Linked DNA regions of Oryzias latipes. The protein of the gene in region 1 binds, or shares a complex with, the protein of each later gene. Links are inferred from orthologs where the notes say so. Each region holds a gene or a part of one and is shown in the gene's direction. Other genes may lie near its edges.

Evidence for each region.
Region 2: the proteins of ras-interacting protein 1 (region 1) and ras-related protein O-Krev are in contact, whole or in part, in a crystal structure (PDB 5KHO), measured with the Homo sapiens proteins. The link is inferred for Oryzias latipes from reciprocal best matches to the Homo sapiens genes RASIP1 and RAP1B. Residues at the interface, in NP_060275.2 of Homo sapiens: Val147, Lys149, Ala156, Ser157, Gly158, Ala159, Asn160, Tyr161, Lys162, Ser163, Val164, Leu165, Glu181, Arg182; in NP_001010942.1 of Homo sapiens: Val24, Gln25, Asp33, Pro34, Thr35, Ile36, Glu37, Asp38, Ser39, Tyr40, Arg41, Glu54, Leu56, Phe64.

What each region holds. Positions count from the first base shown.
Region 1 is NC_019874.2:19,945,498-19,949,862, reverse strand, and holds the start of ras-interacting protein 1, read left to right. Parts: upstream 1-1,383; 5' UTR 1,384-1,681; intron 1,682-2,242; coding exon 2,243-2,364; intron 2,365-2,605; coding exon 2,606-3,057; intron 3,058-3,239; coding exon 3,240-3,500; intron 3,501-3,608; coding exon 3,609-3,850; intron 3,851-4,328; coding exon 4,329-4,365. UniProt on the Homo sapiens protein: Required for the proper formation of vascular structures that develop via both vasculogenesis and angiogenesis.
Region 2 is NC_019865.2:21,779,888-21,784,397, reverse strand, and holds the start of ras-related protein O-Krev, read left to right. Parts: upstream 1-1,515; 5' UTR 1,516-1,741; intron 1,742-3,135; 5' UTR 3,136-3,280; intron 3,281-4,510. UniProt on the Homo sapiens protein: GTP-binding protein that possesses intrinsic GTPase activity. Contributes to the polarizing activity of KRIT1 and CDH5 in the establishment and maintenance of correct endothelial cell polarity and vascular lumen.

The sequences.
Region 1 (4,365 bases):
TAGTATTTTCTTATTGAATTCTATGTATTCATGATCCTTTTGATTTTATGTTTTACTTCTTCAATAGTACCGATACGAACCCCATCGAGACAACTGTTGTTGTGAATTTGGGCAATACAAATAAAATTGAATAAAATTGAATTGAATTTGCCACCCTTCAAAAGTATTCTGCCCCTCTCTCATCCCCCTTTGTACGTATGATGTTCTAGCTCTGCTTCTGAAGCATCACTAAAATTTGCCTCATTTCATTCTGGGAAATAAGCTATTTAGGACCTACAAGTTTTTTTGTTTTAAACACTGGAGACTCCAGAATCTTTTTCAAACGTGAATAAATTGATAAATAAATAAACATTTTAGGCTGAAGAATGTAGATGAGGATTAGAGAAAAAAATGTAAGTAGGTTTAATTTCTGCCTACTGCGTCATACACTGTTGTCACTTTTGGTTCTTTTGTGGTTATTGAATTGAGCTTTATTTTTTCATTTCTTTTTTTCAAAATAAAACTTCAGACTTCCTTTTTCATCTTTTACACTACCCCGATGTTATTCAGCCTGATCGTGCTGGTCTGTTAAACATAATGGTTGAGAAGTTTTCACAATATTTTAACACTTAAGACAGCCAGTCTACTGTAATCGGTTATGTCACCATGACCAACCTATAAAATAAAATAAAACAGTTTGTGTCCCCAAAACTGTGTTATAATTTTTCACATTTAAAAGTGCCCCAAGCCATTGACGAGTTGTAACAGTCATGAAAATCTTGATTCTAATAACGTACATTGGGCTTGTGTTAAAAAAGTGTACAGTTTGGATGACTTTAAACAAGCGTGTCTGTTCTGTCATTACAGGAAGTTGAAAGCAACCATTCAGATGGTACAAAAGTCATTGAATTGGGACACGAGACAGTGTCCTTTCTTAATGCGTCAGCATCCTTCTGTTGAAGAGCAAGTCAAAGGTCACAGGTGTCTACACTGAGCTTCCTGTCTGTCTATTTCCTTCATCCTCTTTTCAGCAACAGTCCACATAATTCCTTTTTTAGAGAGTTTTGTTTGTTAGTGTGTGCCTGTCTGGTTAACTCGCACAACAATGCCAGACTTGATAGCAACAATCTTGAGAGTATTTCCCGGCTTTTTTTAGTAGTTCCTGTAAAAGCACATCGGTCACAGGAGAAATTACCTTTTTTTTTAATTTTCACAAGAAAAACAGAATATTTATTTGGATCTGTGTGTGATGCTCACATTATTCCTAAAAAGGTGTCGAAATCCTATATGAGTATAAATGTACCCTTCCCTCACTTTCTACCAATCTCTCCCTCTCCTTCTCCCAGTCAGGATATAGGTGTTGTCCAAAGCAAAGGAAGGAAATTCTGTCACTTGGAACAATAGGCCCGTTACTCTATCTATAGACCCAGAGCAGCTGTGAGCCAGACAGAAAGAGGCACCACGTCTTTTCCACTTTTCCACAGAAAAATCTAAGAAACGTGTTTTGGTTCTAGTAGAGACAACAACTGATGGATACTTGCAAGTAGGGGTGTCCATGTTTAACATTTAGGGCTTTTCAAAAATGGATCGTTCTTGTGAAGAAAAGGCAACGCTTACCACATCGCTTTGAACAGCAAATACTCTTTAGGCTGGTGAAAGGATCCTCACAGCGAACTTTAACAGAGGCCACAAGCAACAGTGGGTGAGTTGGTTTCATTTGAAGTTACCGTGTTTGTTTGTTCTCAAAGTGCAGGAGGCTCTTCAAAGAACGCTATCACTTCTGCTTGGTAGGAAAAGAATAGATCTTAGGTGTGGACATTTCTCAAGCTGAGACCTGTCTAAACCTTTAAAGAGGTGGTGGTTTTGCACAAAGGTGCAGCGATTGCTCTCAAATCTGAAATCACGATTTATACAAATGTATGAGTGGGAGAATGAGATGTGAAAGAGCTCTGGAATGGGATTTTCCCTGTCACTCCAACAGCTGGGCCTGAGCCCTTGGAAACACGCTTCCTGTTTCAGAATTATTTCAAGGCCTTTTTTGTAAACGTGTGTACATGTGTTTACAATCTTGACAACCTGCTGTAGGTATCCTGTTTATACTCTTTTGATAGTGACATCATCCCATTGTTTTATTGTTTCTCTGCTGGCACTGATGACACAAAGCTGATGACAGACCTGACATGTGCGCATTTTGTCATAGTTTGATGAACTTTTAAAGAAATCGTGTGTTATTTAAAACAAAAATTCTTTTTTTTTCTGTTAGATGGAGGGGTCTGGGAGTCCTCGATTTGGAAAGCTTAATTTCCCTGTGGGTTTGTGGATTAACTCCCCAAGGAAACACTTTGCCAAGCTCGGAGGTCGCTGGCCCAGTGCTATCTCTGTCAAGTCAGTCTGTTCTCATTTCCTTTAATGCTATATTCAGCTTCACTGTCATGATGAATATTTATCTGTGGTCTCATTGCCCGCTTAAGTGAAAATTGAACTGATGCTGTCTTATCTTAGTTTCACTGTCATCTGTATGTTTTATTGTGGTTGTTCTGGTCAGTCATAATTTACAGCTGGCTTGTTTCTTCCTCTTCCTTTCCTCTCGCGTCCATCTGCCCCAACCCCCCGCCACCATTCTCAGGTCAACTACCAGTTCGGACGCAGCCTCACTCCACGAGGCCCCCTCTGCTCCTTCCTCATCCCTGTCTAACTCCACTCCCTCACTGGCTTCCCCTTCCCCTTCCCCATCTCCATCACCGGCCTTCCTCAGGCCAAAGCCTGCAGCTCCCCAGTCTCGCACAAAGCGTATTTCTCAGCTCTTCCTGCGGGGGCGCTCCAACAGTGATCGGGACCGAGCAGTGGGAGAGAGGGAGAGAGAGCTTTGGGCTTCTTCTGCCACCCCCTCCTCCCATCACTACTTGCCCCCAGCCTCTTCCTCTGCCCCGGGCCTGATAAAGATCTATGGTGATGCTCTCTCCAGTGGAGCCAACTATCGCTCCCTGCTGGCTAACAGTCACTCCACAGCCAGGCAGCTCATCTCCCAGGTCATCACTCGCTACACTGAAAGAGAGAGGGATGAGAACGATGACGCAGGTATGACAGAGGGGGACTTTCTTTCTTTCTTCACGGTGACCTCTGCTGCAATCCATTACTGCTTTTGAAAAAAATGAACCAGTTGGGAATGACTTAATACAAAAAGATAAACAGCAGAGTTTAGAAAAATAACCACCCTCCCTCTTCTTGTCCTTCTCTATACTTCCTTCATTACCTTATAGTTCTCCAAAAGTACAGCCCTGAAGACTTTTTGTTGTGTGATGTCATTGGTAAGCCCGTCCAACAACCAGATGGAGCTTTCAAGTGGGAGACAGAGTGCCGGAGAAGTGTTGCCCCATGGGAATGCCCTTTGTTGTTAGTGGACATGTGGCGACCTAAGGATGGATTTGAGCGGCGCTTTGAAATCCACAGGAAAGAGGACTATGAGAGGGAGGAAAGGGAAAGAGAGCAGGAGCGTGAGAGGGATGGGGAGAGCCACCAAGGTATGTGTGAGCTTTCTCAGATATGTCTGATGGCATGCAAGGGTGTTCTGTCTCTTTATGCATGACTCATGGTAAAACTGATGTATGCTGAGCATGTCTGGGTAACAGGCGTGCGCTGGAGGCGCTCCAGGATGTCATCTGGTGGTGGGCCAGAGGAGTGCGAGCGTGGACACCGTGGAAGAAACACAGAGCTTCGGAGGAGCATCAGTGACATGAACCTGAGTCTGCGTCGCCGCCAGCAAAACCATGTCAGCAACGATCCCCGAGGCTCAAGCAACTGCCCTAACAACAGCGGAACGGCACAGGACAGGAAGAACATAGTGAGCATGATCAACCCACAGCCAGGAGAGGTGAAGACACGCAAATGTATCCTTCAGGATGCAAAAAAAATAAACAATCAAAACATAACAAGAGCAACCAACAAGAAAACCATGACAGTGATTTCAAAAACAAGATAGCCCTCACATAATGCAGCTACACAACAGAAAACACAGTTTTTTCAGGAAGCACACAAAAAAAACAGGAAGCCTATCTAAAAAAAACATTTCCCAAAACACTGCAGTTACTCAGAAATAAATCCTATGTCCCAGATAACAGCAACAGGGGGAAAATCAACAAAACTTGCAAAATTTGAACAATTAAAAAAAAAACTACATAAAACCCAAAAACATACAAATAAATGAAACAAAAAAATGTTTCTCTGCATCAAAAAATATATTTATTTTTAAACTTTTCATATGGGACATTCCAAGAAAGCTCTTTTCAAATTGTCATTTTTTTCCCCTCAGAACCATTGAATGCAAGTATCTTGTCTTTTTCTTTCACCAGGTGAGAGCATCAAGAGCAGAAGCCAAAGTTGGATGGA
Region 2 (4,510 bases), on another chromosome or scaffold:
CATTCAGAGCGCACGCTGGTACGTAAATTCTATGAAATTGGTTGCCAGGTTTGGGTCTTTTTTGTTTATTTTTTCGCCACTTCGGGGCCCTGATAGTGACGGGGGCCCTACGCGGCTGCGTAATTCGCGTATAGGGAGGGCCGGCCATGGTTGTAATTGTGAGGGGCTGTAAGCTCGTGGGACAGAGTGTAACCAGAGATTCCATGAAATGTCAGTAGAGGGTTACTCCAGTCCAAACATTCCCACCCACAACTCAGAGGTAATGAACTGCCGCTCTACAGAAACTATGTCCAAGAAAACGACAGTTTAGAAAAAATATTTGGCTAAAAACTGAAAAATCATGGTTAAAAGACAACTGGTAACGCTTTGAAAATGAATAAAAAATAATTGCATCACTGAGCTGAAATTTCAGTTAAAAAAACGTAAAGTTTTGTGATTAGTGCAGAGCAGATCCAGAATCTTTTCATATGTTTGTCCTGAATTAAAATATTCTTTGACAGCAGCAGCTTTTTTTGGGTCAGCAGTAACATTCATATTTTTGTTTTGAGGTGCTACATGTCTAATAACTGTTAATATGATGGACATACGTCATCATCCAATCAGCTATGTCCCATAATCATCATTCATCAAATCATCATTTCTAACATTTTGTTTTCTGAAGATTACTTTTGTTTTCTAAAACATTTCATTTTGTCATTTTCAAATTTTGTTTTGATTTCTAAAACTTAATGTCTTATTATTTATTTTGCTTTTTAAATTGTCATGTTTTTGCGTTGAGTGATTTATTGATGTGATTTGAACTTTAGGGCCAGCGTAGTTAATCCTTTAACATCAAAACTGTTGCAGCGAAAATAACATTTTTTTTAACTTATTTATTTTTTGACATACAAGGTAAATATTTTACCGTTCTCGCGATCCTCTTGAATCCGCTGATTCTGACGCAGAGAAAAGCGGCATTTCTTTCTGGTTTTGCGCCGATATACGCAGCACATTACTAACGTATGGAGCCACGGCTCCACTTTTCTGCAATGCTTTTTTCTCCGCTGCGGTATCCGCTGATGTACGTTGATGACGTAAACACTTCACTACAGCACGGTGCTGCGCACATCAGCGGAAAGCTGCTTTTCTCCGCTCAAGAGTCCACTGGAATTACTTTCAATGCGTTAAAGGTGGGAAAGTTACGGTACTGGAAATACTGTAAATGCAGGAGCTAAAGCTCCGATGTTTAAGAATTTTTACAGACTTTTTTCACGATCCGCTCCAGGTGACGCCAGCACGAACCCAAACTGAACGGCTCAGATGTACATTCTCATCAACAAAAACAACCATTCTTATTCGAAGTGTGTTACACCTGCACAGACACACACATACAGGAACGAGACTTTCAGACTCGCGGAGATGATGCTTTTTCCCCACGGCCACTACAATACAGAATGTGTGGGCGCACCGGTGCGTGCGAATATGGATTTTTTTTAGGCGCACCGTTGAAAAATTTAGTCGCGACTAAATTAGCGGCAGTCTAGAGCCCTGCTGCATAGATGTAAGCACATGCGCTTTAACAGACTTCATGTCATGTGTTTGCTCCTATGTGATGATAAGAGCAGAAGGAGCCGCGCGGCTGAAGTGACCGCTCTACAGAGCGCTGCCATAATTGGCCGAGTCTGGTCCAATCAGCGGCTCCCGCTGAACCTTCCGTACATCCACAGGCTCGGAACGTTTAGCGCACACGTAGCGGAACACGGTGAGTCTCATCAGGCTTCTACTCACTGTTGAAATCAGTTATTTCGAAGTAATTAATTCAATTATGACGCAGTAGTTCAGTAAGGATACAGTAAGCAGCTATTGTATTTTAACCCGGACAACTTGTAAAGCTGCTGGTAAAGACTGGTGCTTGTTGGTAAATAGCTTAGCTGAGAGGCTAATTTAAAAGACTAAAAAGCTAACGGTTGCTAACCGCGGATTCTGACGAGTTGTTCGTGCAAACATTTATAGTGATTTAGATAAGCGAACGTTTATTTATACCTCTCATTTCTGTGTATGTATTCTGGTAACTCTAAAGGGGTTTTAAGTAAAACTTTCGGTAAAGTAGTGACACCCTGAGAGTTCAGCCCTAAGCTAACTTAGCACTCGGTGTCTGAGCGAAGTAGTTAGTGAGCCGCTATGGAACATTAACAAAGTTGTAAAATAAATTCAAGCGGTGAATTAGTGTTAATCTGTTTGTTAACTTGTTTGTCTATTGGCCACAATATCTTTAGTTTTATCGTTTCTGTAGTTCGGAGTTTAACCCTGATCTCCAGCTACGTTAGTTAGCTTATATGCTAACTTAATGCTAATACGTAAGTTGTAAGACTTTTTGTAGGTAATGTTTAAAATTTGTCTGGTAAAATGTGTGACCAGTTCGTGTTTGCGTTTACGTAAAGTCGTCAGTCGATTGGGGTAACTTTTACACGATGTTAGAGCGTTTGTTACAATGGGGAACTAATAGCCACACCCTTCCTTTCGAAACCAACTCCGCTAAAAAGTTGTCTCGAAAACAAAACAAATTTTATTAGCGGCTTTCGGTTATAAAAGATAACAGTGCGCCACGGCCTTGTCATAAACCACGATTCGTTAAGAAAAAGTCGTGTTGAAGAAAGTTTTTGTCAAGTTTCGAACCAGGCGCCTTCCTGTTCATTTGAGTCGAGGTAAAACGCAGTTACAGCGTCCGGGGATGACACATGATACCTGCTGTATATTGAACTGAAGGGGTTGAGTCACCTACTTAGCTTCACTGCCATTCAACCCTAGCCAAATGTATGCATTTATGTGTTTTGTGTTTCTACAGGTTAGAAGTTGGGTTAAAACTAGATTATTTGCATTTTAATGCTGTTATCTAACTTTTGTTTTTCATGACGCCGTAGTTGTCATCAAGAGATGTTGACCTTCTGTTGGACTGTCTTGCTTTTTGTATTGATCTGTAAAACACCTTTACAGTCCTTTTAGTTTTAAGTTCCTTTGTGGAAGGAGATTTAAGGTCTTTTTGCACTAAAGTGACAGTCACAGATGTGATTGACTTTTTACACTATAATAGGATGGATGCAATCTGTAATCATTTATATGTACTCCTGACATAAATCTTCTCTTGATTTTCTTTAGGACTAGTTTGAGCACTTTTTTTTTGGTGTTTTCTGGTTCCCCATTGATCCTCATTCCCTCTGGAGCGGTTGACATAATTGTACCCGAGGACCTGCTGACCCCTTATCCCCAGATGTAGAGGGACTTATCGACATATCTGTGAACAGTAGGTCATTTTATTTATTTATTACTATATTTAAAAAAAAAATTAAGTGATGTCTTTCATCTATTCCTTCATTTTTGAAGTATTCATTAGCTGCTAACAAAAACGAGGAAGCGTTTTAATTTTCATAGCCCTAAGTGGGACGAATAAATGAAGTGCTTGTTACTTCAGCTGTTTGAGTCCAGCCTCAAATCTTGTCAGAGGAAGGCTTATGCTGCTTATCTGATGTGAAAGGCTTTGAGGCAAAGGCTGTGACACCCACACAAATTTACATCTTAAACGGAGTGATTTTTTTTCCTCCCCTCTTCATGCATTCACTTCTAAGCTAACAAGCACATCAGGCGCATGCTGGCGTCACCTCGAGGTACGCCCCCTCACCCCAGTAATGACATTGGCGCAGTGGGCATGCATGCTTTCTCTGATCTCCTTTCTGTGTTTGTATGTACTTGAGTAAAGGATGGTCATCACAATGGCTCTTTGTGTGTGTCTGTTTCTCACTGCGGGTTTCTGTTTGTCCTTCATACATCAGAGTTAGAATTGCTAATGTCGGCCGACTGTGACAGAGAGCTGTATGTAGCGCCTGTCTCAATGTTCGACAAAGATCACAGCAGACCTGCATCAGGTTCAGATTCAAAAATGTACTTTGATGCTTTACTGTAGATGTTCTCTGACATGGTAAATAAAGAAATACTTTTTATATGTATCATGATGTTTTAATTAAATTTGATGAACAAAAACCTTTTTTTCCATATTTGTGATTGATTTATTGTTTTTTCTTCTTCATGGAATTAGGGTTGTTTTTTGTTTTTTTTAAATCAATTCATTTTTTAAGTCAAAATAGATGTGAAAGATAAATAAATCATTTAATTTTATAACTTAATGTCATTATCATGATATAATTACTATTTTTGAGTTTTCTTTTTTTGATTTTCGGAAAAAAACAGAGTATTTGAGATTCACAATCCTTCCATGTCTCTTGATTTTCTTTAGGACTACCGTAGTTTGAGCACTTTTTTTGGCTCCCCATCGACCCTCAGTCTCTCTGGAGCGGTTGTCATATTGTACCTGAGAATCTGTTGACCCCTAATCCCCAGATGTAGAGGGACTTATCAACATAAATCGGTTTTGTCATCTGGATTCTCAAATTACTAGATTACTGCTGTAATTCATAAGTCATAATTCAAAATGTATCTTTGGTTCTTCCTGCTGTGTGGACTAAAGGTTTTCCTAAAT